Linked DNA regions of Rattus norvegicus. The protein of the gene in region 2 binds, or shares a complex with, the protein of the main gene of each other region. Links are inferred from orthologs where the notes say so. Each region holds a gene or a part of one and is shown on either strand. Other genes may lie near its edges.

Evidence for each region.
Region 1: the proteins of Ppp2r2a (region 2) and Ier5 are in contact, whole or in part, in a cryo-EM structure (PDB 8UO5), measured with the Homo sapiens proteins. The link is inferred for Rattus norvegicus from reciprocal best matches to the Homo sapiens genes PPP2R2A and IER5. Residues at the interface, in NP_002708.1 of Homo sapiens: Glu91, Ile92, Glu93, Glu94, Asp116, Tyr178, His179, Asp197, Leu198, Met222, Leu225, Thr226, Glu227, Val228, Thr230, Ser247, Phe280, Phe281, Glu283, Ile284, Ser287, Cys334, Tyr337, Glu338, Asn339, Asp340, Phe343, Lys345; in NP_057629.2 of Homo sapiens: Ala7, Arg9, Ile10, Ile13, Ser14, Lys17, Arg25, Gly26, Lys29, Leu30, His31, Lys32, Leu34, Leu35, Val36, Leu38, Val39, Leu40, Arg41.
Region 3: the proteins of Ppp2r2a (region 2) and Pabir1 are in contact, whole or in part, in a cryo-EM structure (PDB 8SO0), measured with the Homo sapiens proteins. The link is inferred for Rattus norvegicus from reciprocal best matches to the Homo sapiens genes PPP2R2A and PABIR1. Residues at the interface, in NP_002708.1 of Homo sapiens: Phe84, Leu87, Lys88, Ser89, Leu90, Tyr178, His179, Asp197, Met222, Glu223, Leu225, Thr226, Glu227, Val228, Tyr337, Asp340, Phe343; in NP_612206.5 of Homo sapiens: His81, Ser82, Ser83, Arg84, Leu85, Ile88, Lys89, Glu92, Arg99, Glu100, His103.
Region 4: the proteins of Ppp2r2a (region 2) and Ppp2r1a are in contact, whole or in part, in a crystal structure (PDB 3DW8), measured with the Homo sapiens proteins. The link is inferred for Rattus norvegicus from reciprocal best matches to the Homo sapiens genes PPP2R2A and PPP2R1A. Residues at the interface, in NP_002708.1 of Homo sapiens: Pro103, Gln104, Lys105, Asn106, Ala107, Phe110, Lys123, Arg127, Lys129, Pro131, Glu132, Gly133, Tyr134, Asn135, Leu136, Lys137, Thr147, Val149, Thr150, Thr151, Leu152, Arg153, Val154, Pro155, Phe157, Arg169, Arg170, Asn186, Ser187, Asp188; in NP_055040.2 of Homo sapiens: Leu10, Tyr11, Ile13, Ala14, Val15, Ile17, Asp18, Arg21, Ala41, Leu42, Arg46, Glu50, Leu51, Phe54, Asp57, Thr58, Tyr60, Asp61, Thr98, Val99, Glu100, Glu101, Thr102, Trp140, Phe141, Thr142, Thr178, Pro179, Met180, Arg183.

Annotation. Positions count from the first base shown.
Region 1 is NC_086031.1:69,819,122-69,824,332, reverse strand, and holds Ier5 (immediate early response gene 5 protein), read left to right. Parts: upstream 1-1,790; 5' UTR 1,791-1,976; coding exon 1,977-2,903; 3' UTR 2,904-3,883; downstream 3,884-5,211. UniProt on the Homo sapiens protein: Plays a role as a transcription factor. Mediates positive transcriptional regulation of several chaperone genes during the heat shock response in a HSF1-dependent manner. Mediates negative transcriptional regulation of CDC25B expression.
Region 2 is NC_086033.1:45,390,238-45,395,107, forward strand, and holds part of Ppp2r2a (serine/threonine-protein phosphatase 2A 55 kDa regulatory subunit B alpha isoform), read right to left. Parts: intron 3,743-4,870; coding exon 3,577-3,742; intron 1-3,576. UniProt on the Homo sapiens protein: Substrate-recognition subunit of protein phosphatase 2A (PP2A) that plays a key role in cell cycle by controlling mitosis entry and exit. Involved in chromosome clustering during late mitosis by mediating dephosphorylation of MKI67.
Region 3 is NC_086019.1:231,540,557-231,545,181, forward strand, and holds Pabir1 (P2R1A-PPP2R2A-interacting phosphatase regulator 1), read right to left. Parts: upstream 2,162-4,625; 5' UTR 2,100-2,161; coding exon 1,239-2,099; 3' UTR 855-1,238; downstream 1-854. UniProt on the Homo sapiens protein: Acts as an inhibitor of serine/threonine-protein phosphatase 2A (PP2A) activity. Inhibits PP2A activity by blocking the substrate binding site on PPP2R2A and the active site of PPP2CA.
Region 4 is NC_086019.1:69,222,241-69,227,110, forward strand, and holds part of Ppp2r1a (serine/threonine-protein phosphatase 2A 65 kDa regulatory subunit A alpha isoform), read left to right. Parts: intron 1-271; coding exon 272-419; intron 420-525; coding exon 526-681; intron 682-2,290; coding exon 2,291-2,405; intron 2,406-2,510; coding exon 2,511-2,581; intron 2,582-2,999; coding exon 3,000-3,134; intron 3,135-4,542; coding exon 4,543-4,716; intron 4,717-4,870. UniProt on the Homo sapiens protein: The PR65 subunit of protein phosphatase 2A serves as a scaffolding molecule to coordinate the assembly of the catalytic subunit and a variable regulatory B subunit.

The DNA.
Region 1 (5,211 bases), on a different chromosome or scaffold from region 2:
TGAAAGGACTAGGTTGTCAGGCTCTACCCCAGATGTACTGTCAGTCAGCCTGTAAATTTAAACAAGCTGTGTTAGGAACATGGGCTATCTCCATACGTGAGTTCAAGTACCACTTACTACATGGCGTTGATAAATATATCTGTGAGATACAGCATTACCAGATACACTGTGTCCTCATGAGTATAGGTCATTTGTAATACAGTGGGTTCCATCAGAACCTCACTGGACTGCATTCCTTAGGAAACCTGAAGGGACACACACACACACACACACACACACACACACACACACCCCTCTGTTGTTTTAAGGGTGAGTGGTCAGGATCTAGATGCAGACTTGGATTTCAATATTCAATAAATATTTGTAAAAAAATTTTTTTAAGGAGAGAAAATGGAGAAGAACCTCATGTTATTACTGACCATACGTTGTGGTTGCTACATGTTATAAATGTTTTCTCTCCTTCTCTATGTGGACTGAGAATTCCTGGAAGGGGGGAACCCTGGGCTTCAGTTATAGCAGGGATAATGGCCAAAGCTAGCACCCCAAAGCATCATATCTGAGCGCATCCTAGTTGTTAACCAGCTCTAATCAAGCCTACCTCACTAGTGTTTCTTCTACATAAATACATTGGTTAGGAAAACCCTACTGTAGGATGAGGTAAACTTTTCACACTAATAGACTCTGTGTAAGCTGTGGTTAATTTTATTATTTAGATTACCTCTGGGAGCTGTCATTTATCTTCTGTATAATAAAGAAGGTATATACATGATTTTTCCTTTTTAGATTTGAAACTAAAGGGCCATGAGGCAATTTACTGAGTCATCAGGCACCAGTACCATCTTGTCGTGGTCTTTTTGACAGGAATTTGTAAGACTCAGTGGATGGACTACATTGACTAACCAGGAAAATTTTAGGAACTTTTGCCCATACTTGACACAAAACAAATTTACATAATCAATATGGGGAACCAGAACTTCTTTATTTGTATTTTTAGAACTTACTAGATTTCCCCAAGAATAGATCAATTACTTACTGTGCATTTTTTTAAACAGACAAAACCATTGTGGAAAAGTAGGTAACATCTTCATTTAATCTATACTGACAACTGAGAATCTGAGGAATGGAATGAAATATGCCAGCTTTGGACGAGAACCAATAACTTTGTGCCTGAATTCTGTTCCTTGATAAAGCAGAAGCTTGGAAATTTCTATAAACTCCCCTTTTTGTTTGTAGTCAAATGCTGAGTGTAACGCTAATGGGAAAGGGACTAACTCCAAAATAATATCTCAAATATATCGTGGTAGTTGTCATATATTGCCATCGCTTCCGTTTCTGCCAAGAATGACCAGAAGTTACAGCTGTACCAGCTGTAAGCAGCTGGAAATTGCTCATGAAAGGAACCGAACTTTATTGTGCAGTAGATTCCAACACACTAAACGGATGAAAGCCCCAATAGTTCGGTTCCTTACAGTGTGCCAATGTACTTCACAAAGCGGAATTCCTAACTACAAACAGTTCTGTGTGCTTCGTTCTACCACATCACCCGCTCAGAACACAAATCCCACCGCACTTGATCAAAGGGTCGCCTGCGATCTCCCCCTTTAAGAGCTTGCTCCGCGGGACTAACGTTTGAACCGGCCCCGGGGCTCCTCCTCTGCCTCTGATTGGCCGGGGGTGGCGCACGAGGCGCATCGGCCCGCCCAGAACGGTTGGCGGCGCTTTGTGATTGGCGTTCGCGGAGCATATATAAACCGCGGTGTGGCCCCGCACCGCTCAGTTTAGAGGCTGGCCCAGAACGGGTCTGTTGACTGAGGAGAAAAGGCGGAGGGAACTACGCATCACTAGATCTTTTCTCCACCGAGCTTTCACACGCTGAGGGTACAACCACAGAGGCGAACCTGTTCCTGCCTCTCGCGCCTCTCTCAGCTTTAGAAGGCAAGCAGGCGTTCACCCCGTCGTCTGGAAGAGGAGGCAGGATGGAGTTCAAGCTGGAGGCTCACCGTATCGTCAGCATCTCCCTGGGCAAGATCTACAACTCGCGGGTCCAGCGCGGCGGCATCAAGCTGCACAAGAACCTCTTGGTGTCGTTAGTGCTGCGCAGCGCCCGCCAAGTCTACTTGAGTGACCCCTGCCCTGGCCTCTACCTGGCCGGCCCTGCGGGGACCCCGGCGGTACCGCCGCCACAGCAGCCCGGAGAGCCGGTAGCGGGGCCACCATCTGGCTGGGGAGAGCCGCCCCCACCGGTCGCCCGCGCCGCCTGGCCGGAGCCCGAGCCGCAGCCTCAGCCTCAGCCTCAGCGTCCCTCGGTGTGCCACACGCCGGGAGCGGGAAGCCCAGAACCGGTGGCCGCGGTGTCCGGAGCGGAGGACGCTCTACGGGGCGGAGAGGAGGACTCGGCGGCAGCTGCTTGGGGCCGCGTGGAACGTCCGCGCGTGGCGCCTTCTGGAGGCAGCTCGGACGCGTGCTCCGAGGGGCCCCGGGCACTGCGCCGCCCGTGTGGCTGTCCGTCGGCCGTGGAGGAGCGGTCCTCAGAGAACGGGTCCCCGGCGCCAGCCGCCCCGTGTCCCAGGAAGCGTGGCGCAGCGGGAGTGGGTGGCGGCCGCGCGGGCTGCTCCGCGCCCGGCTCTACCCCTCTCAAGAAGCCGCGCCGGAACTCCGAGGAGCAGCCGGTCACCGACGAGGAGGACACCGACGAGGAGATGGAAACCGGGAACGTGGCAAACCTCATCAGCATCTTCGGGTCTAGCTTCTCGGGACTCTTACGGAAAAGCCCTGCGGCCGGGCGGGAGGAAGAGGAGGCGGAGGAGGGCGGCCCGGAAGCCTCCGAGCCCGGGCAGATCTGCTGCGACAAGCCGGTTCTGAGAGACATGAGCCCCTGGAGCACAGCCATCGTGGCCTTCTGATCCCCCGGGACCTGAGCGGCTGGAGCTTGAGCAGCGGGAGTCCCCGAAGTGCGGCCGGGGCCTTTCCCGGCCGCGAGGACGAGCCGAGACCGTAGGCGCTGGGCGCGTAAGGGAGACTGGTTGCTGCCGGGCAGCACATCGCCCCGGAAGGGGCAGCCCGGCTGGGCCGTGGCTCTCGAGTCTCATCCTGAGACCTAGAGTGGGAGGCTTATTGGAAGAGGACGATCGATCGTTAACTTTTGTATCAGTGTGTGTCCATGTGTAAGTTTGTCTTGTGTTGAGACGATTCTGTGGTTCTGGAATGCACCACCCCTTCCCCGTTCTCGAGACTTTGGGGGTGCAAACAGGGACTTTCCTCTGCCAGCAGCACAGAAAAGGAAGCTGCTGAAAGGTTCGAGACAGGGGAGTTCCCCGATCGATCTTGGGGAAGAGAGGGACTTTACACACAACCTCTCTCCTGAAAGCTAGGACCACACCGGGGCGCGGAGTGGCGTTTTCTCACAGGATTTCCCCAGACTAGAGGGAGTTCGTCTGGAGTAGAGACTTGTATTATTTTTCTTCCTCCCCATCTTTCTCTGGCACAGAAGAAGCGCTTCTACCCTGTGATTACTCTGGGAAAGCAGAACATTAAGGGACCTTCAATTCCCCACAGGGGAAAAAAAGCTTGCTGAACTTCACAGAAGAGTTCAAGCTTGGAAATATGGAGTTTATAGAGAAAAAGATATATTTTTAAAAGCTCTAGCTCAGAACTTACTACACAGTGCTTTTAAAAAGTGTTTAATGAAACAAAGTTTACAGACGAGCTCTAAGTGGAAGGACCTTATGGTTTTGTAGATACGGTGACTCCAGTCTTTGTTGTATAAAGGTTGGGGGAGCTGATAAGGTTTTTGTACAGTATTTTCTCCTCCTCTGTATTGATTTTTGTATAAAAATGTAACTTTACGTGTCTAACACGTATTAAATATTTTGAAGCAACTCCACTACCTGCTTGTATGTATGTAATCACTTGTCTGGGTTTCCAACCAGGTGGGGGGAGGGGCAGCCAGGCTGGGAAATGGAAGGTGTGGTTCTTCGTATCAGCCAGTCACAGGCTAGGGACATTGTTGGCTGACTAGAATAAGTATCAAGAGAGACACGTTTAAGGGTTTGGTTTGGTTTTTTTGTTTTCACGCACATCCCCATTCACAGGACTAATAGATACTGGAATTAATGACTGGCAGTTTGAAACCTGCCACTGAAACAGCTTTCTCTGTAGTCATGGTTTTCTATAGTTTGACTTGATGGAATCTTTAATATTAAATAATACTAAACGCCAAGTTTTACAGCCTTTCCAATATCAAGTATTTCCACCAAAACTTTGTTTCCTAAACAGATCTGGTAATCTATTAGACCATGGGTCACTTTGTAGATTTGAATTGGGGTGGGAGTGGGGTTTAGAAAGCAACTTTAGAGGTCTTAGTAGGACCAGTCATGAAGAAACCGATGAGATTGACTTCTCTAAATGTTCAGGTTCATCACTCGTGTTCCATTAGATGTCAAGGCTGACATTTGTCTTCAGTTGTAGAAAGTAAATGTTGAAAGTGAAATTATGTGTATCAAACCAGAGAAGGAGACTAAGGAAGGTTGGGTAAATTTAATTCTCATGTAGCAGAACTTCCTGATTTGCTCTTGTCACCCTACATGATGACATAAGTGGTTTTGGTCACGATAAACAGATGACAGCCAAGACAATTTAAAGAGACCGTTTTGTCTGAGGCAAAACGTTCAGTACTTAAGAGGTAATCTCTTAGGAGCAAACCAATTAGACACTCAGTTTTAAATATAATTGCTAGTTCTTCAAAAGATGCCACTAGTTTCTAACTAAGTAGAATGCTTAAGAGGCAGAAACAGGAAAGAGACAAAAGGAGCATAGGAAATATGCTCTTTGGCCTTAGTTTAAGAGTGTGTGTGTGTGTGTGTGTGTGTGTGTGTGTGTGTGTATACTTCTATATGAATTATCATAGTTGAATAGGCCATTGCTTTGCTCTTTAAGATTATGACTGGTTCTTTAAGGAGGAGAGCTGTTGCCTTCCTACTCCATCACCACAATAGTATGTACATAATACATAGGATAAAACACGCTTTAATCAGGGCACTATTCAGTTGTTTTCTTTCAGAAATTAGCTATTTAAGCTCTATTATAACTACTAAGGATCCATTAAGTGGATCTTAAACTGAAGGTGTCCCCGGCCTTCATTCTGCAGCCATTTCCTTTGCATGCATGCACTTATGCTTGACCCGCCCTCTCGGTGTGCTTTGTATTTGAAAG
Region 2 (4,870 bases):
TGGAGAAGTGACTTCCAAGCTCATCATACAAGGATACAGACTAGGTCAGCATAATTGGTGGTTAGTAGTTGATATTGTCAGGCTTCGCCTCCGCACACTTTGCACACCTACTCACTTTATTCTTTGGAAATAAAAGTCTACCCATGTATTGTTTAAGACTATTTACTATGGACTCATGTATGATTTTATGTAGTTATAATTCTAAAATGGTATTTTTATACAAAAGCAAGACATTTTGAATGATCTTTTTTTTTTTTTGTTCTTTTTTTTCGGAGCTGGGGACCGAACCCAGGGCCTTGCGCTTCCTAGGTAAGCGCTCTACCACTGAGCTAAATCCCCAGCCCCTTGAATGATCTTATATAAGCAAAATTGAATATCATAGTTTTAAAATAGCCTGAAAGCCATTTTAAAAGTGATACAAGACAATCTACAGGGAGACACTAGAGCAGCCATTTCTACTGCCTGCTTGCAACACTTGATTCAAGTGTAAACTCCTGGCTTCAGCATCTTACAGTGTACCCCTAAGCTCTCATCTAGATCTTGTTTGTGATTCCTCTGCAGCTAGGCTCTGCTTCCAGTATACTACTAGGCTTACAGACAGATGGTTGAGTAATAGGTGCTCACATAAAAGCCATTTACACTCTCTTTCTTAACTTTGGAAGACATAAGCATTGCTTAGAAATCCCTTTCTGAAGATGAGAATGACAAATACCCCCCACCCCGAGCTCTATCTTCAGTCTATTGAAATTCATCAACCTTATAAACAGTCCAGATAGGACCGTAACATACCAAACTTTCAGATGGGATTAAATTAGTTCCTATTTTCTTAGAGAAAAACAAAACAGCGCATGTGTGCACACAGGCCCATGCCCCCCCCCCAACAAATAAAGCCCTCTAAAGCAAACAAACAACTCTGACAAAATCTGAAAGAATTTTTTTAAGGTACATTTTTTTTCAATCATAAAGCTTGTGACTTAGAATTTAAAAATGTTTTTGTTTCAGTCATGGAATACAGAACACTGAAATACTATAATAGTTACATGATCTCAGTGTAGTACACTGGGAAGCAGGAAGACAGGAAATAAAATTGCTACATGAAAATCCATTTAATTAATTATGACTTAAAAATATCTTGCCAAAAGCTCTGAGAACAACCTCTTTACTAGTGCTCATGCTCAATACGGTGAGCAGCAGGACTCAGGGAAAGGCAAACAACTTTTGTTTCTAACTCTGCATTTAATATATAAGGGCTTTGATGCTATGTCTCACAGTAAACATGGAGGCCACCCTATGAGTGCTGACATCTCCGAGATGCTTTATGTACATCAAAACCATTGGGCATGGCTCCAGTTTTACCCTTCCTCTACCTTCTCTAGCCCTTCACACTCAAACACAAGTCTGTAAAATGCTGACCTTTTAAATACTACCATATTGGGCCCTATTTTTAAACACATATCCCCCCAAGGTGTTACCAACGTCTTATTTAGATATCCCCCACCAATGTATGACTGTCTAATTTAGATTATCAGTAATAACAACGAAACACTGCAATCTGTTCTTTCAGGCTTGTAGTGGTTTGAATAATTATAGCCCCCATAGTCTCATGTATTTGAAAGCCTAGTCATCAGCGGTGGGCTTTGAGGTTTCCAAAGCCCATGCCAGATCCAGTCTGTCTGTCCCATTCCTTTCCATATCCCTTGCCCCTCCATGATGATAACGACTAAACCTCTAAAACTGTAAGCCAGTCCCAATTAAATGCTTTCTCTTATAAGAGTTGCCTTGGTCTTGGTGTTTCTTCACAGCAACAGAATAGTGACTAAGTCAAGGCCCTTAAATAATTTGTAGCATTATTCAGTATTTTCAAATGTAGGCACCTACTGTGCTTAGAGATACTGTCCACTGTCTATAGAACACACAGACTCCTAGGAAAGGAAGGTAAGGTAAGTATGTAACTGGGTATAATGTTGCCTTTAATCTCAATACTCAGGAAACAGAGGGAAGCAGAGTTTTGTAAGTTCCAGGTAGGCCTGGGCTACTGGTGAGTCCCTGTCTCAAAAAAAAAAAAAAAACAAAAAAAAAAACAAAAACAAAAACAAAACAAAACCAAAAATCAACTCTAGAGACAGAAATACCCTTGACCATAAAAACAAATATTTTCAAACCACAAACTACAATATACAACACACTTCCCAGGGATATTTGTTTCTAAAAGTAAAACAAAACAAATATATAAACACATAGTATAATCATATTACTTACTTGATGCAAAAAAAGTGTTGAAGAGCTATTTGATGTACCTCAGTTTACCACATAAATCAAAATGGAAGCAAGACTAGAAACTATCATCTGATTCTTCTATCAAGGATGCAATGTATTGCAGCCGTGTTATATCACTTTCTTTCAGGAAGAGGTGAGGTGGGATACAGTGGGCATACCCATGTTTGGGAGGCCAAAGTAGGATATCAACATTTCAAAGCTATCCTGGGCTATGATGCAAGACTGTCTCACTACCTCCCTTGCCTCGTAAACACGAAGAAATTGTCATTTATTTAGAAAGAGGAAGGCAGAGGGTAAAAAGGGTAAAAAAATTTAATTGAGAGAAAATGGGTCTCCAAGGAGGCATGGAATCAGGAGTAGAGCGATGTTTTATGCACTGCATCCCCATAAATTCAATACAATAAACCACAGGGTACAAGAGTGCACGAAGGGGCTCTAAATATCTCCCACTGTGTTACCCTAAGTAGTCATGAGTCTACACACTCTGCAAACAGAAAGATGTAAGTGCTAAGGTTTGCTTCTATTAATAGTTAGATGAGATAAATGTGAGATTTCTGCTAATGTGTGTCAGCCTAAAGTTTTAATAGACCATGACACCCAGATCTCAAAGTGTCACCCCCATCTCTTCAATCTCAAGGTCCTGATAAGTCAAAACTCACTCTCTCTCTCTCTCTCTCTCTCTCTCTCTCTCTCTCTCTCTGTCTATCTGTCTGTCTCTCTCTCTCTCACACACACACACACACACACACACAAATTTATACTACTCTTAATTTGTCATGCAAAACCTCAAACTCTGACCAACATTACACCCAGCTCTAACCCTTTCTCCCACCTTTCCTTACACAAATACAGCTAACATGAGAATCTTCTTCCACCCATGTGGCTTATAGAGAAGAAAGTGAAGAGCTAGTCAAAGTCAAGGAAGAAGCATACTCTCCTAGAAATCATCCTGGAGATAAATCATCTTCTGTAAAGTTTGGAAAGAAAATAAGCATTTTCTAAGCATTGGGTCTACCTGCCAAGTTACCATGTTAATATACATTCATAACAGTGCTGTAACAAAGACACTGCTACCTATGTCTTCTGGTAAGGAATATTCAACTCAGGATTTGGGATCAACCAAAGGAGGCAGAAATAAAATTGGCCTAAATAAAAAATTAGTACCCAGGAATCTGAATTTGCAAGTTAGCAATAAAAGAAGCAAAAGTAGTAAATTAACGTTCTGCACAAGGGAAGGGCCTGCATCCTCTGGAGAACCATATGCCCATGGATGCCTGAAAACAAAAGATGCACACTTACCATTGGTAGACAATAAAAACTGGGCAGCATTTTTCTGGGGTAACCACCTAATTTTGTTGATCTTCTCTTCTATTTCTAAGCTTTTCAAGTAGTCAAATTCTGGCTCATGGCTCTGGAAGGTGCTGTAAACATTGTATTCTCCTCTGCTATGAGACTGGATTTTGTTCTACAACAGAAAAAAAATATTTGGACTATGTTGAGAAATATATCAAACCATAATCAACTCCAACAGACTCTGAAAATTGTAGATACCCCAACCAGGCAGCTCTATCTTACACCCTATTGTACTGTTTTCTGTATTTAAAATTCTTCAAGGAGAAAGAAAGCTTTACGAAGAGCAAGAAGGAAACACTTAAGTAAGCTTCATTTAATAGGGAGATGGTACACCAAATACAGACTGATTTAATTAACTTGTATATTAAATAGCATAATCATACCGTTAAAGAAGAAAACTGAACACCCATAGTAATGGATACCATTTAAAATGTAAAATGAGAAAGCCACTGATCAGAAACAGCTAGCTGGAGCACATTTTGTCTGCTCTTTTATCTAATCTGATACTTGGTCTTTTTGCCGTTCCTTTCTATATTCCCTACTGAAAAGCTCTTTAAAAGGTGCTCTCATAAATCCAACAACCCATGTCACCCCTTTGGACAACTTTGCTGCCAATTAAGTATGCAACAGCACCCTGGCAACGCCTGCCTGAACCTCTGCTCCATGGCTTACTCTCCTGAGTTCTGATTACAGGAACCTCACACACCAATGCTTAGTTCACTTCGTGCCAGTCTGCTGGTATATATTTGTTCAATTAAAGGGATTCATATAAACATTACTTGTGACCTATCACACAATTAGAAACACTTTTGTAAGAATATTATTAAAAAAATTTACTAGAATCTTCAGAAAAATAAATGATATTACAACTGTATGGATAAGCAATCACTTTAATAAAAACCAAGTTATCAAGTGAAGTATTTATAGCTACCAAAATAGCCATCTTCCCATTCACATCAGAAGAAACCTGTTCAATTATCTCGGAAACACATACTTTGGTTTGTGTCTTCTAACAGTGTAGTCATAACTTTTCAATCACTTATTCTGGCACGTATCAATAATTAGTGAATGGGCTGGTCAAAACTGTGAAGTCTTCAGAATATACCAAGAACACATCCAACCTTGGGGTGTGTTGGTGTGCCACACTCATATACCAAATTCCATAACGTATTTGTTTTTTCATGTATACTAAAATACCACATGCTGTCAATCTTTCACCTAAACTTACCCAAACAGCCTT
Region 3 (4,625 bases), on a different chromosome or scaffold from region 2:
CTTCTACCTTTAAGAAAACCTAAGTAATGAGTTATGGAAGTGACTGTCCCTCATCTCCTGCACCTCACGGGCCTTTACTTAACTACATCTCCACTGCTGTTAATAAAGCTCCAACCATAGATGTATCGCACTGTTAGAAATCCAAGTCAGGGGTACCTTGTCTAACGATGGCCTAGCTTGGTGGGAGGTGGGAAGTACCTGTTGGCAAGGAAACAACTGCTTCCTTCCTGAGCAAGGGAAAAATATGAAGGTGACAGATGGGCAGACCAAAAAAGCAGCCACAGCTGCCCTGGCTTCTCGTTGGCAAGAATTTTAAGAACCAAGTCAGGACTGGATAGCTTAAAGTCTATCAAGGATTGAGAGAGCATCATCTGTCTGGGTGTTTTCCCACACATTTACATTTCACAAATGTTAAATTTGAAATGGTAGCAAGAGCCTTGCCTTCGCTTGTCTAATGTGAGCTAAGACTACAAGGCACTGTCCCATTGCATGTTTAGGATTATACCCAAAAGAATGCACTTTCTGGTTAAAAATGTTTTCAAAAAGAAATTTCATTTTTGTAGTTATATTAGTGTGATTTACTAGAGTTACTATGAAAATTGTTAGAAAATGTCCTTATTTACTTTCATATACTTAATTTTAAAATATTTGCTGCAAAGTGTTATTTCTCCTTTTGTCGTTTTTCCCTCCCACCCACCTTTCTGCCTAGGACATTAAATATCAAGGGCTCCTGGGTAAACTAGACAACCAGTGGACTGATATCACTAACATTATTTTAGCTGTAAGAAGGTAAGTTCTTCAGTAGATGGAAAATAGCAACCATTGAAAAACACCAAAAATTAGTGTGCCATGAATTATGGAATTTTAAAACATCAGTTTACTAAACTGAAATTCAACATTTATATTTTCATCAGAACTTAATAATCCCATAAATAAATAGAGCTCTCAATTATTTAAAAAAATCAAGGGATAACATATGTATTTAGACATATTAGCAGCGTAAAATGTATGCTTCAACACACTTATTGATAAAAAGTCCGAAAATATTACTACACTGAATTCAAGGGCATCCGCAGGAACCTGACATAGAAATTCTCTAGAATAACATTTCAGGAATTTCCAAAAAGAGGGAAGAGTCAAATAGGAAACAGCTTCAACGTAATCGACAAAGTTCAGTGCTTGCTCTAACTTGATTTTTTTGTCTCTCCATTGGGGGAGGGGGATTCAAGACGAGTGAGTCACTTTGAGGAAAGTTCATCTACTGGAATAAAGGGGGAGGCTGCTTGGGCAGGCGACACAGGAGAGTCGGTGGTAGTGCTGACTTTCGCTGGTGAATTACAGGAAGATCCGGCACTGCTGCTGTTTCCATCCAGGGTATCAGAAGATACACACACTCCGGGCTCTGACAGCTGTGCAACGTCAGAAGAAAGCATGTTGGTGATGCCCTGGAAAAATCTCTTTGGCTGATAATCAGTTTCCATTTCACATTTTCTTTTCAATGGTCCAAGAACACTTGGTCTAATGCAGTTGATGGGACTCTGGCTTCTCCGGGTAGTAAACCGGGTGGTTGGGCTGGGAATAGGACTTGGAGGCAATCCGTTGCTACTCACAAAACTTTGCAAGGACGGTGAAAAACACTGCTTCCCAATTCCCCGGGTGGGTGACGGTGCTGGAGACACCGGAATGAAATCGATGCGCTTTGGAGAGGCGGATTTCTCCACGTCGTTGTCACTCAGGCTGAAACTTTCCTCCCAGGAGTGGCTTATCTGCATTGCGGTCTGCACCTCGCGCTCGTGGACCGTCTCTCGGTTGATCAGGTCCATGCCCTCCTCTTGTTTGATCTGGTGCAGGCGGCTGCTGTGCATTCGGACCGGCGAGGCCGGGAGCAGCAGGCCGTGGCGGCTCGGGAACGTCGTGCTGTTCCTCCTGGCGCTAGGCGCCTCGGCCTGGAACACCGGCGAGGAGTCGCTGAGGCCGTGGATGAGGGGGGCGCTGTTAGACCTCCGGAGGCCCCCGCTGCCCGGGCCGCCGCCTTCCGCTGGGCTAGCGCCCGTGCCCGCGGGCAGCTCCAGGTCCAGTTCCATCTTCTCCTGAGCCATGTCGCGGCAGGGAGGCGGGGGCGGTGCTCAGTCAGGGCCCTGGGACTCCCATTCCCCGCGGCCCAAGGCCGCCGCCGCCGCCGCCTTCGAGAATCTGTCAGAGGGCTCACGCCTCTGCGCATGCGTGTCCCTTCGCGCAGGCGTCCTGACACGCTCGTTCTTGAGGCGCCAGCTTAATGCGTCATTGCTGTGGCGCCGCGGCGGGGAAGGGGCGAGCAGTGGTTGGGCGACTCCTCTGTTCGTTCCTTCCGCAAATAATCACTGGGCGCGGGCTCGCGGGAAGGCTGGTTAGAGAGGCCGGGGCGCTCAGAAGTATATGTTTATGAAGCAAGTATGAGCTCAGAAAGATAGTCCCTTGGTGATGTGGGGCTTCATGATGGAGCACGGTCTAGCCTGGGTGGGCTTCCCGAGGGATGGAGCACAGGCTTCTGAAGTCTAAAGGAGGCAACAGCGGCGCTTTGTAAAACTGTCCTGAAAGCGGGAAACCTCTGCTGCCCAGCTAGGTGGCAGATGGGAACCAGTAGAAGAGAGTTGTTAGCCTGATGGTGGACAAGAATAGGTTCTGGTCTTTCTTGAGAACAATAAAAACTCCCAGGCGTTCTCAAAGAAGGATAGAAGGGTACAGTAGCAGCTGAACTATTGGAGCCTTAGGCTGAGATCTGAAGAATAAGACATGGGAGTAGAACCCACAGGGAAAAGGCCAAAGAGGAGGGTAATTTACCCCAGGGCTGAATCTGGGAGGGGAAAGGGAGAGAATAGTAGACTTAAGGTGATTGGGAGGAAGAAGCTTTGTGACATTTTTTTAAAGTTGTCATATTTCTGCTGCTAACCATTTACTTACTCATGCTCACTCGGTATGGGAATTCAATGAAAGAAAAAAAATGCACACATTTAAAGAATAACAGGTTTTGGTTTATGTAATTAATACAAAACTTTGTATCTCATTAAATAGAATTGTATTTGTTCATTTATTCAGTCAACTCTCCTATCCGGGCACACCTACTTACTGTATTAGGAAATGAGACTTGTGTGAGGTCATTCACTTGCTACTGGATGGGAGTGGGGATTGACAAAATAGGAGACTTTTGGTGTTAAGTGTTTGGGAGAAAAGTGGGATGGTGTGGTCTAGCACTACTGATGGAAGTTAAGGGACAATTGGGCAGAGTTAAGTTGTAAGTTACAAATCCTGTGGACTGCAGAAGGTGGGGGCAGGACCAAGCGTTCCAACCAATGCTTAAGGGCCAACAGACCCACTGGCTTGGCGACGAACAGGAAAGAAAAAGCAAGATGGAGACAGTGATCTTGGAGGGCAAAGGACTGAGCACCTAGTCCTTTGATGAGAAGACACTGAGCAGTGTTAGGCAAGGGAATAATAGGCTTGTGCTTTGTTCATCTGTTATGGTTTGAGATGGAGTCTCACTAAGTCGTTGCTCGGGCTAATCTCAAACTTCTGGGCACCAGTGATTCACCTCAGCCCCGAAGGAAGTAGGACAAAGCTATACAGTGCCACACTCAGCTTGGTTTATGTTTTAAACACTAGTCTGGCTCCATGGAATATGAGCTGAAAGAGGGCCAGAGGCAAGAGTGGAGGCCAAAAGATAGGTTAGGAAGCTGCTACTCAGCAGAGTTCTGGAGTAGGGTTGTAGCAGTAGTGAATGGGGAGAAGTAGTGAACCCCGACACTATGTAATCGGGTTCAACCACTAAGATTTGCCAATAGATTAAATGTTGGTGTTCAAAGAAATAGGTAATTTAAATGGTTATGTCAAATAGGAAAGGTACACGGGGTGGATGTTAAGAGTTCAGTTTGGGTAGGCTTGAGGAAGTATAGATATACATCTGGCCACTTTGAACTAATAGTAATATTTTTTTTTCAGCTGAAGAAGGTAAGATACAGAGGTCAGTGACATGCAGCATTGCACAGCTTGTTAGTGGTGGGAACCACGTCTCCTGTTTCCTCATCTATATGTTTTTCCACTTGATCTCAAACAGGTTGTAATCAAAGTTCTTACTAAACATAGATCCTGAAGATAAAATAATGTTAAGCATTCATACCTGTTACAGAACTAATCTACACAATACCACATCCCATTAAATCCTTCCTTGAAACAGCATCATGGGGTAGGTATTATTATTGATGCCAGTTTGCAGGGAAAACCAGAGATTTAGTAGCACCCATAGAGAACCAGGCCTTGGTGGGTACAAGGCCTTTCTTTGCATGCTCTCTGCTCTCTTTAAGTGCAATGACACTTCAGAACTCAGAGAAATCATTCGTGTATTGGCAGTGTAAAGGCAGTGGTATGAGACAGGATTTGAAGGCCAGGTAGAATTTTAATGGATGACACTTTATAGAGAAGTAGGAGGTGACAGCAGCATGGCGAGCTTGATTAGTAGATGCAGGACCTGGAGAAAAATAATGGGGAAAGAAGGAGTCTGAAGATGGAGCTGTGAATGCCTGGCAGGCAGATCTGTATTTAACATGGGAAGCAGTAGGGGCTGCTCAGATTCTCACAAGAATGGCAGGCCG
Region 4 (4,870 bases), on a different chromosome or scaffold from region 2:
ATTTGCATTTTAAACAGTTGTTAGTACTGTGTTGTACTCTTTGACTGAGACCTCAAGTCAGCTTTGTGGGGACTTGCTACTGCCATTGGTCAATTTATAGAGCTGAGAAGACAAAGAGGTCATGAATTGTACAAAGTCACCATTGTCAGCACCAGAATTTACTGCAGACCCAGCAGTGCTCTGTGCTGTGCTGTTCTGTGCTGTGCTATACTGTGACACCAGCTGGTAGGGCTTTCCAGGATTCCAACTCTGGGCCTCCATCCAATTCCAGGTACTTCCGGAACCTGTGCTCAGATGATACCCCCATGGTGCGGCGGGCCGCTGCCTCCAAGCTGGGGGAGTTTGCCAAGGTACTGGAGCTGGACAATGTCAAGAGTGAGATCATTCCCATGTTCTCTAACCTGGCCTCTGACGAGCAGGTAAGCCAGTCACCAACTCTCACCATGCCCTTGCTAGCTGAGGAAGGAATGCACCCTTAAGGCTCAGTGGGCCTCTGCTTCCCTGCCCCTCCCTGTGTTTTCCCAGGACTCGGTGCGGCTGCTGGCAGTAGAGGCATGCGTGAATATCGCCCAGCTTCTGCCCCAGGAGGACCTGGAGGCCTTAGTGATGCCCACCTTGCGACAGGCTGCTGAGGACAAGTCTTGGCGTGTCCGCTACATGGTGGCAGACAAATTCACAGAGGTAAGTTGGCATAGTTCCACAGATGGGAACACTGAAGCTTTCTGAGGGGAGGAGGGAGCAACATATAGGAGATGACATGCTTTATTTTTTAGGACAGCAGTCCGTCCTGAGTCTTAATGGGCAACCGAATCATCTCCCAGAGCCAGTCCTTGTGGGTGATTTGAATCAAAGTGCTGTAATGAGAATGATTTTGAAGCCAAGTTTCAATTCCATGAAAGCATTTTTCCTGAACTCACAACTTCCCTAAGAAAGACACAGCCCCAGTAATAGTTGTCATCAACCACATGTTAGTCAGATCAGGGACAAGTGCTCTTTGTGCCAAGATCCAAATTTTCTTAGCCAAGAGCATGTTGGTTTGTTGTTGTTTTTCCCCTTGTTAATACTGAGAGTTGAACCCAGTTCTTAACCCATGTTAGGCAAGTGCTCTACTGTTGTTGCAATATTCGCAGGTCCATAGTTATGTCCTTTTGTTTGTTTGTTTGTTTGTTATTAGCACTACCTTTGGTAGAGGTTCTGGAGTCAGTTATGTGTACACATTCCTGGCCTTGAAGGAGCAGGCTAAAAGTCAGCCTCACTAGAAAGTGCTGATGGGAGCTAGAGAGATGGCTTAGCGGTTAAGAGCACTGACTGCTCTTCCAGAGGTCCTGAGTTCATTCTCAGCAATGGTGGCTCACAACCTACTGTAATGCAGTCACATGCCCTCTTCTTAAATAAATCTTTTAAAAAATATTAGTTCTAATGGAGTATGTTATGTCTTGTTCTGTGTGCTTGATGGCATTGCAATTGAGTGGCAGTTAGATAAGAAATATGTCAGAACAAAAAGACAAGCCCGTGCAGAGTATGTAGGAGATAAGAGACAGAGTAAAGCAGGAGCATTCATGGCCTGATGCTGAGATTAAGTGAGCAAAGGGGCAGGAATGATGGACAAGAGCTCCTCATTGTGATGGTTAGTTTTCTGGGGTCTGCTAGAAGACTCATCCCTAAGGATTGTATTCCTGGGTCTAGTAAAGTAGTTTGAGACCTGGCCATGTAGAAGTATGTGTACCTGGGAGGCGTAGTACCAAGTAAAGGCAAGTCAGGCTTCTGATCTGCAAGGGAAGCAGGCTTAATTCTTTGAGTAGTAGAGAGTCATCCTGCTCCCAACTGTTCTTCCAGCAACCTAGTTGAAGCTGTCTGTTCTAGATCCTTTTCCTACATCCTTGTTACTGGCATGTGTTTCCTTCTTCACTGTTTTTAATCATTTTAATCATTTTACTTTTGAAAATTATACCAACCAGTTTAGTAAACTGTTAAGTATGTTTACATATTTTCATGTTAGTGAAAGCAGGAACCACTTAACAGTGTTTAGGGAATGGGAAATTCAACCTCAAAGAACCTGAACAATAAATGTAAAACATACTGTGGAGGATGTCCTGTAACCATCGTTCTATTTCTGAAGATGTCATCAGAGAGGTGACAACTTCACTGATTGGTCATGTCTTTATGCTGGGACTATGTCCCTTGTGCTGTGTCCTAACCTCATTCTAGTGCTTTCTTCTCCATTTTTGCCTCTTTAGCCCTGAGTGGCTGCCACACTCTTCAGTTCTGCTCCTCTTCTCTTTGTGTACAGCTCCAGAAAGCAGTTGGGCCTGAGATCACTAAGACAGATCTGGTGCCTGCCTTCCAGAACCTGATGAAAGACTGTGAGGCCGAGGTGAGGGCCGCAGCCTCCCACAAGGTCAAAGGTTGGTGCTGGCAACCAGAACACAACTAGTTGGGTGGCTTTCTAAGAGGCACAAATGGGCTCAGAGCATCAAGTCTCACCAGCACCTTCCTGTCCCTGCCCACAGAGTTCTGTGAAAATCTCTCAGCTGACTGCCGGGAGAATGTGATCATGACCCAGATCTTGCCCTGCATCAAGGTAATAGAGTAGTGTTTGATGGTAGGATTTGAGACTGCTAGAGATGGGTGAAGACTTTGTTTTAGGTACAGTCTGATCCAAGCCAGGTTTTCAGTCCTTTTGGGATGTAGTAACTGAGCTGTAGACAAAATCTGAGGGTTGCTGCTGACCCTAAGGTCTAAGGGATGTATTTGCTGCTCCAAGACCAGAGTCCCCTTATGAACAGAGTTTTTGGAGAATGAGGCAGTGACCCTGGGTTGGGGTTCACATAACAAACAATCCCTGTTGAGAATAAATCCAGTGCAGCCCTGTGATGCCCCACATATGTGAAAAGCAGAAGACTGTGGTCTTCTTGGGCCATCGGGGCTACTATCTATGTGACCAGTTGCAATTAAAGGGGATTTCTGACCTTTGTTACCTCCTTCATTCTTTTCTGAAGGAACTCGTGTCCGATGCCAACCAACATGTCAAGTCAGCACTGGCTTCAGTCATCATGGGCCTCTCTCCCATTCTGGGCAAAGACAATACCATCGAACACCTCTTGCCCCTGTTCTTGGCTCAGCTGAAGGATGAGGTAAGAGTGGCAGAAAGGTTTGCAGAATCAATCAATTATCCAAGAGTATAAAATTTTGGCATCACACTCCACACTCCCTGCTTTGCTGAGTAGATGACAGGCATTCATGTCTGCTTGTTCATTCATTCTTCTCAGACATTGCTTCAAGTTCCCTTAATTTTGCACTCATCTGTCTCCTGAGTATTTAGGACATGAACAAAGACCAAGACAGTGGTGATCTTTAAGGACTTACAAATGTGCCAGTAGAGAGGAACAGAGAGATAAAGTGTTCCATAATTCCACTCAGAAATTGTAGGTACTGGGAGAGGTGGGCCACGGTTTAAAGCTTTAGGTGACATAGAGACTAGAATACAGTAACATCTAGTCAGTTATGATTATTCCTCTCACATCATTCCAGCTGGCCCTATTGTGACAGATTAGCCTTGCTGGCCTGGCTTTCTTGGTCTGATGCCACAGCTGTAATTTGTCTCCTGGCCCACTGAAGGTCCCATTGAAATAGCTCTAGCTTGTGTCTTCTACATGCTCTGTTGGCCATAGCCAGTCTGGTCACCATACTTGCTTGTGCAAGTGGCTTTAGACTATGGAGAATGAAAGAAGTCACTGGTAAGAGTTTAGAGAATTGGATTTGAACCTGTAGGCAAGTGCTGCAGCTGCAAGAGATCTTTCTGTTAGGAAAGTATAGCCAGTGGTAGGGAGAGAGAAGAGAGATGGCCAGAGGTCCTGGGAAGCCAGACTAGTGTGATGCTGTCCACTGACAGTCTTTAATGGAGCTTGTTGGTAGATTACACAGTGGCTAATTCTGTGATGGTGAATGCAGATTTGTCCCCTTTCCCAGACTGGGTCAAAGATGCTTCATAGGCTGTTTGTACTCAAGAAGTCTTTCTTAAAAATGGTGTGTGAAGTCAGTTGAAAGGTTTTAACATTGATAGCTCTGGATTTAGTTTCTAGCACCACAAGAAAAAAATAAGGCTCTTGGGTCTGCATTTTCAGTTTTCCGGAGAAGTTTCTCTTCATAGCCAATGTGCGGCTGCTCCACATGTCTGTTCCCATAGATGTCCCTGCCCTATGGAATGAGTGTGAATGGATACATTGGAGTTCATAATACCTCTAGTCAGAGATTTGTCACATGCATCTCAAGGTACAGAGTTCCATGTCAGTGGGAAGAAATGAGTGATAGAGAATAAACACAGCATATTCATTCCTTTGTGTTCCAGAAACTGGATACTTCTTTCAGTTTATCCAGTGGTTCCCATTTCCCCTTGCATAGCCTCCGCTACCCTGAGTGAGACTAGGTGGATATTTTGTGTTAAGGGACAATAGCCAGAAAGGAGCTCTTGGCTGTTCCTCTCACCCTTCTTAGGTCGCTGTATATAGTATCTTCTCTCAACCTTCCTGTTTTCTTTCCAAGTGTCCTGAGGTGCGGCTGAACATCATTTCCAACCTGGATTGTGTGAATGAAGTGATTGGCATCCGGCAGCTCTCGCAGTCCTTGCTTCCTGCCATCGTGGAACTCGCTGAAGATGCCAAGTGGCGAGTGCGGCTGGCCATCATTGAATACATGCCTCTGCTGGCTGGACAGCTCGTGAGTGAGGACCCAGGTTTTGCTGTCCCTGAAGTGATAAGAGAGCAGGGTCCAGTCATAACCCCAGTACCGGGCACTGTTGCTGTAACAAGGGACTTGGAGCTGCCCTTTGTAGGCAGTGACAGCTGCCCATGGAGGAAGGACTCTACTCTGG